Linked DNA regions of Saccharomyces cerevisiae S288C. The protein of the gene in region 1 purifies or fractionates together with the protein of each later gene. This does not show direct contact. Each region holds a gene or a part of one and is shown on either strand. Other genes may lie near its edges.

Evidence for each region. The genes of interacting proteins can lie anywhere in the genome.
Region 2: the proteins of RPT1 (region 1) and RPN3 purify together in Saccharomyces cerevisiae (affinity purification with mass spectrometry; 5 studies listed by BioGRID, with this or other methods). This does not show direct contact.
Region 3: the proteins of RPT1 (region 1) and RPN5 purify together in Saccharomyces cerevisiae (affinity purification with mass spectrometry; 7 studies listed by BioGRID, with this or other methods). This does not show direct contact.

The regions. Positions count from the first base shown.
Region 1 is NC_001143.9:167,954-176,116, reverse strand, and holds RPT1 (proteasome regulatory particle base subunit RPT1), read right to left. Parts: upstream 1,905-8,163; coding exon 501-1,904; downstream 1-500. Other genes in the region: DNA-directed RNA polymerase III subunit RPC25, read left to right, coding at 1-274; AVT3 (Avt3p), read right to left, coding at 2,256-4,334; succinate dehydrogenase flavoprotein subunit SDH1, read left to right, coding at 4,988-6,910; DBR1 (RNA lariat debranching enzyme), read left to right, coding at 7,288-8,163. UniProt on the Saccharomyces cerevisiae protein: The 26S proteasome is involved in the ATP-dependent degradation of ubiquitinated proteins. The regulatory (or ATPase) complex confers ATP dependency and substrate specificity to the 26S complex.
Region 2 is NC_001137.3:194,684-199,019, reverse strand, and holds RPN3 (proteasome regulatory particle lid subunit RPN3), read right to left. Parts: upstream 2,073-4,336; coding exon 501-2,072; downstream 1-500. Other genes in the region: SRB4 (Srb4p), read right to left, coding at 1-208; GPA2 (guanine nucleotide-binding protein subunit alpha), read right to left, coding at 2,503-3,852. UniProt on the Saccharomyces cerevisiae protein: Acts as a regulatory subunit of the 26S proteasome which is involved in the ATP-dependent degradation of ubiquitinated proteins.
Region 3 is NC_001136.10:188,839-192,761, forward strand, and holds RPN5 (proteasome regulatory particle lid subunit RPN5), read left to right. Parts: upstream 1-2,085; coding exon 2,086-3,423; downstream 3,424-3,923. Other genes in the region: snoRNA-binding rRNA-processing protein NOP14, read right to left, coding at 1-1,748; LDB17 (Ldb17p), read left to right, coding at 3,912-3,923. UniProt on the Saccharomyces cerevisiae protein: Acts as a regulatory subunit of the 26S proteasome which is involved in the ATP-dependent degradation of ubiquitinated proteins.

The DNA.
Region 1 (8,163 bases):
CCCTGAAGAAAGTGCATGGATTTGGCCCATGGATGAAGAGACGAAACTATATTTCGATGTAAATGAAAAAATTAGATTCAGAATCGAAAGAGAAGTTTTTGTTGATGTGAAGCCAAAATCACCCAAAGAACGAGAATTGGAGGAAAGAGCTCAATTAGAGAATGAGATTGAGGGTAAGAATGAAGAAACTCCTCAAAACGAAAAACCTCCAGCATATGCCCTATTAGGTAGTTGTCAAACTGATGGCATGGGACTCGTTAGTTGGTGGGAATGATAGATAAGGACGCCACTGACTTCAATAAAACATTTAATAATAATAGTAACAGTAATAATGAGGATAATAATATATAATAAACGTGAATTTTCTTTAGCATTATATACGCTAATTCTTTCTCTATTTGAGGGGATACTCTCGTATCCTTTTTATCTCGATAGTTGTAGTTGTACTTGTTGTTTTTATTAACCCTTCTCATAATATATAATAAAAAAGTACATTGACGTCAATTATATTGCATATAACGCGATGTGGAACTAAACTTCTTGTATCCGCTAATAACTTTATCAACAGCCTTCAGGAAATCCTTTTCAGTAGCCACCTTTCTTCTTGCTCTAATGGCAAACATACCGGCTTCTGTGCAAACAGATCTTAATTCTGCACCGGTAGAGTTTGGACACAGTCTGGAGATAAGTTCCCATCTGATGCCACGTTCCACACTCATTGATTTAGAGTGAATACGGAAGATATTTGCACGACCTTCCAAGTCAGGTAATGAAAACTCTACCTTACGATCAATTCTACCGGGTCTCAATAAAGCTGGATCTAAAGTGTTGGGCCTATTGGTGGCAAACATCACTTTAATGTTACCACGAGGGTCAAACCCGTCTAACTGTGTAATCAGTTCTAACATAGTTCTTTGAACTTCATTATCACCACCAGCACCATCATCAAAACGAGCACCACCAACAGCGTCGATTTCATCGAAGAATATAATGCAAGCCTTTTTGGTACGAGCCATTTCAAATAATTCTCTAACCATACGAGCACCTTCACCGACATATTTTTGCACTAGCTCAGACCCAATGACCCTAATAAAAGTTGCATCAGTTCTATTAGCAACAGCACGAGCACATAATGTCTTACCAGTACCAGGTGGCCCATATAATAAGATACCCTTTGGTGGATCAATACCAAGAGTAGCAAATCTTTCTGGAGATAATAAGGGCAGCTCGACAACTTCTCTCAGCTTTTCAATTTGGTCTTTACAGCCACCGACATCGCTATAAGTAACGTCAGGCTTTTCTTCAACGGTCATCATAGTAACTGATGGGTCAATCCTTGGAGGCAATGGAAGTTCAATATTATATTTCGACCTATCGACACCTACACGCATACCTTCTTCTATATCTGTTGGAGAAACACGTTCACCTAATCCGACGACAAATTTGGCAATTTGCTTAAGATTTATCACGTACTTGGCATCTTCATCGTCTTCGTCTGCATCAGTAGACTGTTGATTGCTATTACTATTGCTATTGCCGCTGTTATTATTATCTGTCGTAGTTTCGTCACTTTCACCATTCCCCTTAATGATCTTCGTGCAACGAGCGACTTGTAAGGGATGTTCTTCGCCCAGTCTCTGCCTATCACCCATAATATCCCATAGATGGGAGGGTGCTAACCCTGTATCGCTTTCTTTCACACCGGCCTTTTCTTTGATTCTCGCTTCAATGTCTTTTAAGTCATTCTCAGTTTGCTTTAATTTGGCTGCGTATGGAGCTGCACCGTATGATTTTAAGACTTGAATGTCACCTTCTGTTAAGGGTACGATCTTGTCATCATCAGGTTTTTTATCATCGTCTTCCAAAGGTGCCTTGTATTTTTCCCAGTCTTCTTTTGGTGGCATTCCGTATAGTTCCTAACTTCCTTGATTTATTACGATGGTTCAAAAAAATATCTCAATTGAATATTGCTTTGAATTCTCATCTCCTTGGAAAATACTGTATATACCCAGTTCTTTGTATAGTAAGCTGCATGCTAGTTTAGTTTTCGGGTGGCAAAATTCGGTAATCCTATTCACTATACCTTTTCCTCTCGTCCGGGTAAACTCAGCCATACCAAATTGACAAGGATAGTACATTTATGCTAATCATAATTAAAACAAGGTATGTGTGTTCCAGATGCATATAGATAACGAGTCATATATAAATATATATATATGTGTCTGTACATGATGTACTCGGTCAAAAATGGCGGATTACTGGCTCCACATTTTAATCGTCTGCCATGACGTGTAGGCCATGACAGCAACTCCAAATACTATGACGATTAAATCTAAAAGAAGCCTGGCTCTCGAGGTTCCAGATAAGATGGACGCCTTATAGTGCAACAATGGCGGGTATATGTAGATCAATGGGATACACGCGAAGGAGCCTACCAGTGATACAAATTTGTCCAAATCGTTGGCGCCTACCCAAGCGAGGATAGATGTCAGGACGACAATAGCGCAACGGAAATAGTTTTTCAACCATTTGACTTTCGGGTTGTATTTACCAGATGCATTTGAGGGAAAAGTCCAGTTTTCCAAAATACGTATCGCGGGAAATAGCTGCAACGGCGTGGATAACAAAATGGCTAATGCATACAGTAATTGAACAGTGAGAGTATAGGAAGTGTCCTGCGGAAAATTCAATAAAACAACAGTTTTCACGTCAGATCCAAAAGCGGCATAGCATAAGAGACCACATGATATGAAAATCACTGCCACGATACACATCACCGCGGACAACGATGGCCGGAAATGCTTCGGGTGTTTCATTGACTCCTGAATGGGGATAAGTAGGCCTATACCTTCAAAGGTGAATATGGCGGTACCGATGAACAACGACCAGTCCGCTTTATTGAACATAAGCATTGTATCGGATGCGACACCATTAACAGCAATATAATAAATGGAGTAAACGTAAACATAAACCAATCCCAGTAGAATAAATAGATCTGCTATTAACGCGGTCCCACTTAACTTGGCTATGTTTCTTGTCAAAGATAGTGGGACAAAGATGAGTACTTGTGCAAAGATATAGGTGGCTAGACTGATGCTGCCCGGTTTCAAATGGAAGAAATTTTCAGAAAAGACCTGCAAATTAGTTGCAGTGAAAACAGTGTATGCAGCAGAAAACCCGATTTGTGACAAGGCGATAGACGAAAGAATGGCAAATTTCATTTTGGGCCCATATAGTATACGACCCATGTCACCGTACCCATCTACGCCTACTTTGTCCTTGGTGGTAATCAATGATACGAAACATCCATAAGAAATGAGGGCACACGAGAGTAGACAAAGGGCGCTAAATCCCCAACCACCGTTATGGAAAGCCTTTGGTAGGAAAAGCACACCTGTCCCAACAAATGACTTTAACAAGAGCAGCACCGCCTTTACCGTAGATGATTTGTGAGGATGGCGCCCGTGTTCACGAGAAACTAGCTGGGTGCTTTCCGTTTCCAAAGCTTCCTCCTCTGGCTCCTCTTCAGTTTCTTCCTCCTCCTCCTCTTCTTCCGATAAATCTTCACCAGCGAAGTGGCCATACAAGGTCAAAAATTCAATAAAGTTCCTGGTGAAAAAATTCGGTATGGGCGCATCAACGTTATGTTTCCTGCGCTTCTGTATTATAAAAGATCTTCTGAATCCACCAGGAGCCCTGATTTCTTCGTGCGTCATCGGTGCGGGCGCCAGGCCTATTGCCGCTAGAGGATTCCCATTCGCCTCCGAGTTGTTGTTAAGGTGAGAGGAAGATGCTATAGAAGCGGCAGAAAAGCTCATAGACCTTTTACGATTCGAGAATGAGGGCGCTTGTGAAGGTATTGAGGTGGAAAGTGCAGGTTGACTTGGGTACTGATACTGCGATGGTGATGAAGGATGGTCGTTTGTCCACTTATACAGATCTCTTGTAATGTCTCCGCCTTGCAATTGTAGGCTGTTACTCGGGTTTCTTATCAAGTGGCGTGCCACGGCATCTACCACATGTGGCTCAGGGTTATTTATGCTCACTTCAAGCGTGCCATTGTTACAGGAAGTGTGCGACGCGTCGGGTACGCTAGCATGCACCGCTTCATTGTTCACAAGCAGCGGCGGCTTTTTTAGCAAACCACCTGTAGTTCCACTAGATTTTCTACTTCTGCTTCTACTTCTACTATTACCGTTGCTATTGCCACCGTTGCCGTCCGTTAAAGGTGAGCCAGACGCATGCGAGATTCCTGTACTGCCTCCGTTGTTATTTTTTTTGTTGTTGTTGCTCTGCGTTCTTCCAGAGCCACTTGAAACCTCTTTTCCATTCATATCCGCGATGCAATCCCTTATACGCTTCTTAATAAACTTTGCTTCCCACTCTTTCACTACTGACCATCGATCCTTCTTATTTCATAGCCTCACGAGCACAAATGATAATACGAGAAAAAGGCCCGACCGGGTAACCAACCCTTTTACTATCTCTCGCTCTACCTTTAGTAATAATGTCGTCTATATAAGGATTTACTCATACAGTAGTCCAAAATATACCTTTCCGTGCTAAAAGTAGCTCCCAAAAGTAGCGGAGGTGAGGATCATCCTCTATTGCCAGGTACCAAGCTCGCTGGAAAGTCGTTATGGAGTCACGGCTTTGAGGGCGGGGGTGGACCAATCACAGCGCAGAACGCGGCGCCGAGCAAGCGCTGGACCAAGGGATCCGGGCCTCTTCTATTGGTTGTTTGTTTGCTCAAACCCGTTATATATTCAGGCATCCTCGACTCTAACCTTTTGCCACGTCGAGGCGGCTTGAAGCTTAAATAGCACTAATAAACTAGTAGACACATTATAACTAACCAGTAGTATACTTTGCACTTTCGATATTCTTTTCACTAATCTCCTCCCCAACCCCTTATTGAAGATAAAAAGAAAGAAAGAAAGAAAGAAAAAAATCCAATTTCATAGTACGAAGAAGAACGAGAATAAAGATGCTATCGCTAAAAAAATCAGCGCTCTCCAAGTTGACTTTGCTCAGAAACACAAGAACATTTACATCGTCAGCTTTGGTGCGCCAAACGCAGGGCTCTGTAAACGGTTCCGCGTCCAGATCTGCAGACGGGAAGTACCACATAATAGATCACGAGTATGACTGTGTGGTAATCGGTGCCGGTGGTGCCGGCCTTAGAGCGGCCTTTGGTCTTGCCGAGGCGGGCTACAAGACTGCTTGTATATCCAAGCTTTTCCCCACCAGATCCCACACTGTTGCTGCTCAGGGTGGTATCAATGCCGCTCTGGGAAATATGCACAAGGATAACTGGAAATGGCATATGTACGATACTGTGAAAGGATCTGATTGGCTAGGTGACCAGGACTCCATCCATTACATGACCAGGGAAGCGCCCAAATCGATCATTGAACTGGAACACTATGGTGTTCCTTTTTCAAGAACTGAAAACGGTAAGATCTACCAAAGAGCCTTTGGTGGTCAGACCAAGGAGTACGGTAAGGGTGCTCAGGCCTATAGAACATGCGCTGTCGCAGACAGGACAGGACATGCTCTTTTACACACGCTTTATGGCCAAGCTTTAAGACATGACACACATTTCTTTATTGAGTACTTTGCCCTCGATCTGTTGACCCATAATGGCGAGGTCGTTGGTGTCATCGCTTATAATCAGGAAGACGGTACCATCCACAGATTCAGAGCACACAAGACCATTATTGCCACTGGTGGCTATGGTAGAGCATACTTCTCTTGTACCTCTGCTCACACATGTACGGGTGACGGTAATGCCATGGTTTCGCGTGCTGGTTTCCCCTTGCAAGATTTAGAGTTTGTTCAATTCCATCCTTCAGGTATATATGGGTCTGGTTGCTTAATCACTGAAGGTGCTCGTGGTGAAGGTGGTTTTTTGGTTAATTCTGAAGGTGAAAGATTCATGGAACGTTACGCTCCTACGGCCAAGGATCTAGCTTGTAGAGATGTCGTTTCCAGAGCAATCACCATGGAGATCAGAGAAGGCAGAGGTGTTGGTAAGAAAAAGGACCACATGTACTTACAATTGAGCCATCTACCTCCGGAAGTTCTAAAGGAAAGATTGCCAGGTATCTCTGAAACAGCAGCCATTTTTGCTGGTGTAGACGTCACCAAGGAACCTATTCCCATTATTCCTACCGTCCACTATAACATGGGTGGTATTCCCACGAAGTGGAATGGTGAGGCATTAACCATTGATGAAGAAACTGGCGAAGACAAGGTTATTCCCGGTTTAATGGCTTGTGGTGAAGCCGCTTGTGTTTCTGTCCATGGTGCCAATAGATTAGGTGCCAATTCCTTGTTGGATCTTGTTGTCTTTGGTCGTGCTGTTGCCCATACGGTTGCTGACACTTTACAGCCTGGGTTGCCACACAAACCACTACCTTCTGATTTGGGTAAAGAATCCATCGCAAACTTGGATAAACTAAGAAATGCTAATGGTTCAAGATCTACGGCAGAAATTAGAATGAATATGAAACAAACTATGCAAAAGGATGTTTCCGTCTTTAGAACACAATCATCTTTAGATGAAGGTGTTCGGAACATTACTGCAGTAGAGAAGACCTTTGATGATGTGAAGACGACCGATAGATCAATGATCTGGAATTCTGACTTGGTTGAAACTCTGGAGCTACAGAACTTATTAACCTGTGCCTCCCAAACAGCTGTTTCCGCTGCTAATAGAAAGGAATCCCGTGGTGCTCATGCAAGAGAGGATTATCCAAATAGAGATGACGAACATTGGATGAAGCATACATTATCCTGGCAAAAGGACGTCGCTGCCCCAGTGACTTTGAAATACAGAAGGGTTATCGATCACACTTTGGACGAAAAGGAATGTCCTTCCGTACCTCCAACTGTAAGAGCCTACTAATTTGAACCTCATTGTATTTTACGGAAAAGAATATCATACTCTTCTTTAATTGCACTTTTTTTGTGCGTTTGCACTTTTTTACCACTGACTCACTAATTTGTATATATACCTATTAATATACATTTACATAAAGTTTCTTCTTATACATACTCTATTTATTTAGTTATTTATTAACTTACTATTTATTTATTTATTTATTTATTTATTTATTACTTTCAATTTTTTATCGAGGCATTTCCTTAGTTCTCCAATTTTTTTTCTCATTAGCCAGATGTGTGTTTTTCTGGCCCTCACAAAAAATGAGCAGGAGAAAGTCATATGGCGAACGTAAATATGTAACTAAAAATTAAGATGGGCAGACATTTATCATTTTGCTTATGACTAAATTGCGAATTGCTGTACAAGGGTGCTGTCATGGTCAGCTAAACCAAATTTATAAAGAAGTGTCACGAATCCATGCGAAGACTCCCATCGATCTATTAATTATTCTTGGAGATTTTCAAAGTATTCGTGATGGTCAGGATTTTAAGTCAATAGCCATACCACCAAAATATCAAAGACTCGGTGATTTCATATCATACTACAATAATGAGATTGAAGCCCCAGTCCCTACTATTTTTATTGGCGGTAATCATGAATCGATGAGACATTTAATGCTTCTGCCACATGGTGGTTATGTAGCAAAGAACATTTTTTATATGGGATACTCTAACGTTATATGGTTTAAAGGCATAAGGATAGGTTCATTGAGCGGGATATGGAAAGAGTGGGATTTCAATAAGCAACGACCAGATTGGAATGACCTAGAAAATAACAATTGGAAAGCTAACATAAGAAATCTGTATCATGTAAGAATTTCTGATATTGCTCCTCTTTTTATGATCAAGCATCGTATTGATATTATGCTGAGCCACGATTGGCCCAATGGAGTCGTTTATCATGGCGATACTAAGCACTTGTTGAAGCTTAAGCCTTTTTTTGAGCAAGATATTAAAGAGGGAAAACTAGGCAGCCCAGTGACCTGGCAACTACTAAGAGATTTGCGGCCTCAATGGTGGTTGAGCGCCCATTTGCATGTCAGGTTCATGGCCTCCATTAAGCATAATAAAAGAAGCCACGAACCGCCTAATAAGTCAACTTCAAAGACAAAAAAAAACAATAATGAAATAGATTTGGATTTATCCAGTGACGAGGACGAAAGGTCTGGTATTATGAATTGCCAAGAAGAGAATGAGTATGATTCCAAATACGGC
Region 2 (4,336 bases), on another chromosome or scaffold:
TAGTTTTATTCTCTAACTCATCACCTTCTAGTCGAATACTAGTATCTGCTTTTCCTGCAGATTCAGGTACGGGTTCATCAGACGTTGGTGAATGAAGGCTAGAGTTTGGATTAGAACTTAGTGCCAATGTAATTAAGTTCGGGTCCAATGCCAATTTAATGCCAGTTTCGGAACTTAAGTGATTTGAATCTGGATCTTCCGTTGTCATTATGGCTTTTAAGCTGCTTACAATTTTTTTGGCTCTATCTCTTTTGCCTTTGAAAAGTAAATAATGCTTTACGTTCAGTTATTTTTTCTGCAGTTCTACTTTTTCAAAGGGCTGCAGTGCACAAGAGAAAACAACTTTTCCTCACTTTTCTTCCCCGTCTATGAATGTAGAAAGTAACACACTTTGATATCAATAAGTATATATATATATATATATATACGTTTATGAGAACTTTATGTATATACGAATGAATTTCTGTTATGAATGGTAGTTATTTATTTTTTATGCGCCCTTATAAGAATCCCAAATCGTCGAGATCCGAGATATCAGACATGTCATCCATCAAATCACCATCTAGCGTATCATCATCATTTTCACCATTTTCACTTTTCTCATTTTGTTGAGTCTTTTTATCCTCAGGGTACCTCATTGAAACAAGGTATTCATCATGTAATTGGTTGGCAAATTTGATTCTTTCATCAAATACTTGCTGAGGATCTTCACTATCATAAATGTTTAGTAATTCTGTGGTTTCGATAAAGCCATCCTCGTGATTAATCTTGGCTTCAATAACACCATCTCTAATAGCCCTTGAAACCATGTATTCTACAGTTTGCTCCGAATCCAAATTCAGTTTCAAACAAATATCTCTTAATGAAATTTTTTTATACGTTAAGGAGATGATCCTGATACCTGTCTTGATAACATTAGATCTTAATCTAACACAGAGTTGATAGGTGTCATCCTTCAATAGCAACTGCTTATACTTTGTGATTGTAGATGTGAATTTTTTCAAGTCACCTAATTTAACGGCTTTGGTCAAATGGTAATAAGGAAGGAGAGATTTCTGCATATTTGATTGATGGAAAAATGATAATTCTGGAATATCACCCATGAGTAATTGAATACAACAATGCAGTTTGTTTGATTGCTGTAAGAACCCTAAACTCTTGGAATTATGTGGGGCTTTTCTTATGGCTGCAATAATGTACTCGTTCGCAGTGGAATAATCCAGTTGAATGGCGTTAATTTTCGATAAATAGAAGAAATATCTTGCCTCCAATGAACTGGAAACGTCTGTGTGAGGATATTCTAGTTTAGAAATGAAATCAGACGCGCTATCAACCTCGCCATTATTCAAAAAATCTCTCAAGATCAAGTTAATCAGCATGGCTTTGGTTTCGTTGTCGTGCTTCAGGGAAGCGATTTTCAAAAACTTCATCATCGTGGACCTTAAGATTATATTTTGGTTGTCGCTGTTAATCTCCTCGGAGCTGCGCGCTAACGTTTCATGACTCAAGTAGATGTAGAACCATAACTTAGCGTTGATTAAATTCAAGGAACGCAAATTGTAATAACACAATAAATTTGGGATAACAACCTTCCTATTAAACTCTACCAATTGTTCTAATTCTTTACTGTCCCATAAAAACAACTGGACTAGTAGATGCATGAAGCAATTAATTTCAGCTGTCACTTCAATGGTCTTTTTCTCAGTGTTTACGGAATAAAAAGAGGCTGGATATGAGTTTCTAAGCTCAGCTGACCCCGGTACGGACGATTTATGGTTAGAAGTAATGAACTTCAGCAGATTCTTCTTGAATGAAGAAGAATCAGGGTACAGCACATTCACTGTGAAACATAAAGTTTCCGCATTCAAAAGCTCCTGGTTCCTTAAAGAGCTCAAGTCCTTTAAACTCCTCCATATATATCTTGGGTCCAGCGTTAAAGTGGTCTTGGAGATCTCATTCAAAACTTTCAATAGTTCCTGAACCTGATCTTCTTCCGCATATTTCTTCTCAGAATGGTGCAAGTCATTGACCCCGGAAGAATCCACGTCCATCATTACTGCAGTGCTAGCCATTCTATTTGCTCAATTGAATTTTTTTTACTATACCCCCTTTCAAATTGTGTGATGAATGCCTTACCTACTGCTTTGTCTCTTTCTTGGGTGGCAAATGTTTTTCGTCCTCCTGCCTGAAAAGTGGAACTATTACCTCGTTGGAATGAAATTTTTGTTACCCGGGATAATAACTATAATGACTACAATAATATAGTGGTATAACGCTATAAATTAAAAAATAACGGTTGTGCTTAATACAGCACAAAACAGAAAAGTTATTCAAGTATCATGGTTGTGATTACTAGTACAATGGTCATGAGAAAACGTATTCGTATTTATTTAATTTTTTTTTTTTTTTTACCTTTTTTCCAGTTTCTTTTTTTATCTTTTTTAAAGGTGATAATAAAGGGGAGAAGAGGCATGCAGTTTTGTCTCTGTTTTAGCTGTGCATTCATTGTAACACTCCAGAGTCTTTCAATGTATTTTCCAAAATTGTTTCTTTGATGGCGGCAAATACTAATCTTATATTCGACGTGTCTGTGGCCTGTGTCACGTGAGGATATATGCTTAGATTCGCCCTGTTTAACTGAACAAACCTCCAGAGTATGTACTTAGCAGCCTTGTTGATGTCTGACCCGCCGGTGTAGTCTGGGAAGTAATTTTCCATAGGCACTTTGCTTAGTTTTTCAGCAAAAAGGTCGATTTTATTCAGAAAGAGTACGACAGACGTGCGCGCGAACCATCTACTGTTGACAATATTATCGAAAAGCACCAGCGATTCCTGAAACCTGTTCTGGTTCTTGTCCTCCATCAGCGTCTGGTCGTACTCCGATAGAGAAACGCAAAATATGACCAGAGTGACATTGTCGAAGCAGTGTATCCATTTTTTTCTTTCGGAACGCTGTCCACCCACGTCGTAAATATGCATCTTGATATCCGACCCCATATCAATGACGGTGTCAAAAATCCCTGACGTCATCTGTCTCGATCTTAATATGTCCTGCTGGGTGGGTCTGTAATTGGGCGAAGTGATCCTGGTGAAATTTTCCATGAAGTAAGGAGTCGAGTCCATTAGATAGAACTTCGATGCGTTAGGCCCATTGACTAAATCTTGTGTTGAGGGCAAGGCCCACAACGTAGATATTACGCCCGCGATATCTTCCGGGAATTGGCCCGTGTAGTTATTGGGCATTTCATAGGACATGGTTCTCGACAGGTCTTGTTGCGTCAGTTCACACTCCGGTTCCAAGTTGACGTTAAACCTTGTTCTCGCCTGGATGAGGTTCCTGCCAATTTCCAATAGATTCTGATAGATCAAGGGGATGTACTCTTTAATTTCCTGCTCGCTAAACCCGTTCTGGTGTAAAATCTTCAACTGCTGCAATACCGTGGACTTACCACTTTCACCGGCACCCAGCAGTAGCACTTTCAGTTCTTTGTCGTTGCTGCCACTTGAAGCGTCCGACAATGATGGTTGTGCTGCAACGTTACTCGACCTGTCTCTCAGGGCAGAGTCGATATTGATCTGTTGCGATCCGCTTGTATTTGCCGTAGCCGTGGGAGATATCGCGTTATTAATGCTCCCGTTTTGCTCCTTGCGGTCCTTAACATTATGCGGAGACGGCTGCTGCTGCCTCTGTTGTTGCTTTTCTTGTTGATTTGCTGTGTTGACTGTTCTCACAGTCTTCTGTGGCTCCTGCTTTGGTGGTACCTTCGCTTTGCCAACGTTGTCACTACCAGCGCTGGCGGTCTGCGTGTCAGGAGTGCTGCCGTTCTTTTCTGAAGATGCGCAGAGACCCATGATATTTGCTTGAAAATACGCGTGATTTGTGCTGTAACAATAAGGCTCGCTGTGATAGCAATTGCTCACTTTTATACCTATCGATTGCTCTTTGGGTAGTGAGAACCAAACCTACCTAAAGTTTTTCCACCCCTTCAGTCTAAGGCTGCACGCACGCGCCTATAAATCCTGCTGCTTATTAACTTTTTTTTTCGGTGCAGTATGCAAGAGGATAAGAAGAATCATTTGGGCGCAGCTGAGGGGGCTTGAACATGATGAAGTAAGGGAAGAAGAAATCGCGAACGAGGCAGTAGTCATGTTTTGTGACTGAATTGGCGGACTTCATTTTACTCCAGACATTTACTTAATGTGGAGCACGCCGGGCGCAGGGATCGTAATATATGGTATATCTTTAGTAATTATAAGTTTGATTCTGCCCCGGGTACCACGGGTTACCCGTTTCCTTAGCCTTTTGGATTTCGTCTTTTTTTTTTTCCTCCATTTT
Region 3 (3,923 bases), on another chromosome or scaffold:
TCTTGATTTTCTTTCTCAACTATAAAAGTGAGTAATATTTTTTGAAAGAAGTAAACCACCTCCGGTATGTACCGTTTGGAAATGCGTTGATATTGTGAAACAATCCTTACCAAGACAGCGCCAAAAGCTATCCTCTTTAAAGAATTAAACTTGATTTGTTCCAGGAACTGGCTCATTAAAATCAATGCTGGAGTTATTACTAAATGGTACTGGTCCGAGGTGGAGAAAAGAATACCAATAATGGAAAAAAATACCAGATCACCATTTGATAGAGCATCAAAATGGTTCTTTTTATAGCGTGCTTGCATTTCATTGATATAATCTCTACACTCCTCGGAAAGCTCTCTATTATATTTCTCTGAAAGGGATTTTAGAATTGAGATCAATGCATTTTGTGTACGTTTAAAACTTTGAACGTTTTTAAGGTAGTTTTGATTGCTTAGAAAAATGATGTGTCTCAGTAAAACAGCGGTGAATTTTCCTAACTTTTCCTTATTACCTTCAGCCAATTTTGGTTGGTAAGCTTTGATAATATTCTTAACAATCTTAGGATGATCATCTAAGTCTAATTTTTTTACTTGATCTAATAACGCATCATGAGTTCTAGGGCATGAAATGGAAATGTTCTTTTTCTTTAAAATTTGAGAAAACCCTTCATCTCTGCCTTGATCTTCAAATTTGATATCATCATCAGAATCAGCAATACCGTCATTATCGTCTTCATAGTCTTCTTCATTTTCCCAGAATCCATCATCCAAATCCTCTACTCCTCTTTCTTCGCCTTCTTCTAATTCAATCATACCGTTCATACGATCAAGACGCTGTTGTTCCAACTCCCGTTTTTTTTCTTCAGCTTCAGCGTTTTTCTCCTCTTCAGTTTTAGTTCTATCAGAGGGTGCAGCTCTTTTGTCCAATTGTAGTTCTTTCACTTTGATATCATACTCCTTATCTAGATCGGTCTTAGGTTCCATTGGATTCTTCTTGGGTTGCGTCATCATCAATTCAGACATAACATCCTCGAAATTATCATCCAGATTATCTATTTGATCTTCCATTATACCTTGAGCCTTTTGTCTTTCTTGTTTGTAAAATTTTGATTTGGCAATGACCTCTTTCATGACTTCAGCTTTGGTTTTTTTTCTTTGAGGTTGCTGTAGCTCAGCATCATCTTCATTGAATCGTTTGGAAGCTAAAAAATCCTCTTCATCATTGGCAAGCTCATCTTCTAGGGACAGCGATTGACCTAAATGTGTAAGACCGTCTCCAAACATGTCACCGTCGTCTTCATCGTCTTCAAGATTGAATAAATTTGCGTTTCTCTTTGATTGGCTTTGTCTTTCTCTGGTGAAACGTTCCAACATTTTTTCTTCTTCCGTCAACAACTTGTCTCTTTCACCAAATCTCTTATCGATCACACCACCACGTTTATTCTTCATCATTTTTCTTGCTTCAAATGCACGCTTTCTTTGTTCTTCACCGATCTGTTTAGAGATACCAGGCTTACCCACAGCAATACGATCAGCAGTTTTAGAAGGCAGACCATCTCTCCTCTTATTCCTTGCAGCCTTTATTTCAAACGGATTAAACTCTTCTCTGATTTCAGCAATGGCCTTTTTTTTTTCTTCACGATCATACTCCTTCGCTTGTCTTTTGGAATTCTTTTTATTCTTACTTTTGACGTTTGTTTGACCTGTGAGTCCACGGGCCTTCAAGGCGGCCTTTAAATTCTTAAGTTGTGAACCGGCCATGTATTTGATCTTCCCTTTTATTTGCTTCTCAACTGTACTATTTACAGTAATAATTAGTGCAACCTTCAGATGCTTCTCGCTAAATGCTCATCTCTAAATTATCATTATTATTCCTAATAAATCCTAAAATTTTTCACTCGTTCTGTACGGCTCATCGCCCCAATATTACCCGTCTTGTATGTGATCTTTTTGACTTTTCGGTGGCAAAATGCAAAGGGGAATCCAAGGAAAAACCATAACAGGACACTACATCAGAGATAATCTTGAATTAAGAGAGTAGAGGAATATACTGCTGGGCTCACTACCATTTTTGTTGCTAGAGTAAACGTAGAGAAAGATGTCAAGAGATGCACCAATTAAGGCTGACAAGGATTATAGCCAAATTTTGAAGGAAGAGTTTCCTAAGATCGATTCGCTCGCTCAAAATGATTGTAACTCTGCTTTAGACCAACTGTTAGTGTTGGAGAAGAAAACCAGACAAGCTTCAGATCTGGCCTCCTCGAAAGAAGTTTTGGCCAAGATTGTAGATCTGCTAGCATCAAGGAATAAGTGGGACGACCTAAATGAGCAATTGACTCTACTCTCAAAAAAGCATGGTCAGTTGAAATTGTCAATTCAGTATATGATACAAAAGGTTATGGAATATTTGAAAAGCTCGAAATCTTTGGATTTAAACACCAGAATTAGTGTCATTGAAACTATCAGGGTGGTTACAGAGAACAAAATATTTGTAGAAGTGGAAAGAGCTAGGGTCACCAAAGATTTGGTGGAAATTAAGAAAGAAGAGGGTAAGATTGATGAAGCTGCAGACATCTTGTGTGAGTTACAGGTTGAGACCTATGGCTCCATGGAAATGTCTGAGAAAATTCAGTTTATATTAGAGCAAATGGAATTGAGTATATTAAAAGGTGATTATTCCCAAGCCACGGTGCTTTCAAGAAAAATTCTGAAAAAAACTTTTAAAAATCCAAAATACGAGTCATTGAAGCTAGAATATTATAATCTTCTGGTAAAAATTAGTTTGCACAAGAGAGAATACCTAGAAGTTGCGCAGTATCTGCAAGAAATTTATCAAACAGACGCCATTAAATCAGATGAGGCTAAGTGGAAACCTGTTTTATCGCACATTGTATATTTCTTAGTCCTTTCACCTTACGGCAATTTACAAAATGATTTAATTCACAAAATCCAGAATGATAACAACCTGAAAAAATTAGAAAGCCAAGAATCTTTAGTAAAATTGTTTACTACGAATGAGTTGATGAGATGGCCAATTGTTCAAAAAACCTATGAGCCCGTCTTAAATGAGGATGATTTGGCATTTGGTGGAGAAGCTAATAAGCATCACTGGGAAGATTTACAAAAAAGGGTCATCGAGCACAATTTAAGAGTCATTTCCGAATACTATTCCAGAATTACTTTACTAAGATTGAATGAATTGCTGGACCTAACGGAGAGCCAGACGGAAACATACATCAGTGATTTGGTAAACCAGGGCATCATATACGCTAAAGTTAATCGCCCAGCCAAAATCGTGAATTTTGAAAAACCAAAAAACTCAAGCCAATTATTGAACGAATGGTCACATAATGTTGACGAACTATTAGAACATATAGAAACAATAGGCCATTTAATTACAAAAGAGGAAATCATGCACGGTTTGCAAGCTAAATGAAGAGATTTTCGAGTAAGTGTCGGATTATCTCAGATCCGGTTTTGATTTTAAATCTGTTACTAATCGAAATGTGTATTTACGTACGTGAGATAAAATTATCTATGCATATATATAACTCAAATGGAAAATGGCCACGTATTGCTCTCATTCTCTTCACTTGCTTACACAAAACATAAGGTGACAATTAATGGAATTTTAGTTTTTCAATTTTTCAGGGGAAAGAAGACACCCAAAAAAAAAGTGAAAAGTCAAAACGGTAAACTGTTTATGGTATTTAAATGACATTAATAGCAGCGTAAAGAGTCATTTTTTCGTTTGATTAGCAAAACTCTGAACATTAATTACTACACCTATAGACATATCTTTAAACAGTGAAATATTTTTTTCATTTAGTAAACAAGAATTAAACTTTGAATATTTTTTTTTCGATTAACTTATGTCACTTTAGCCTATACTTTCTTCGAACATTTTTCCTTTCATTTTGACTCATGATATTAGAT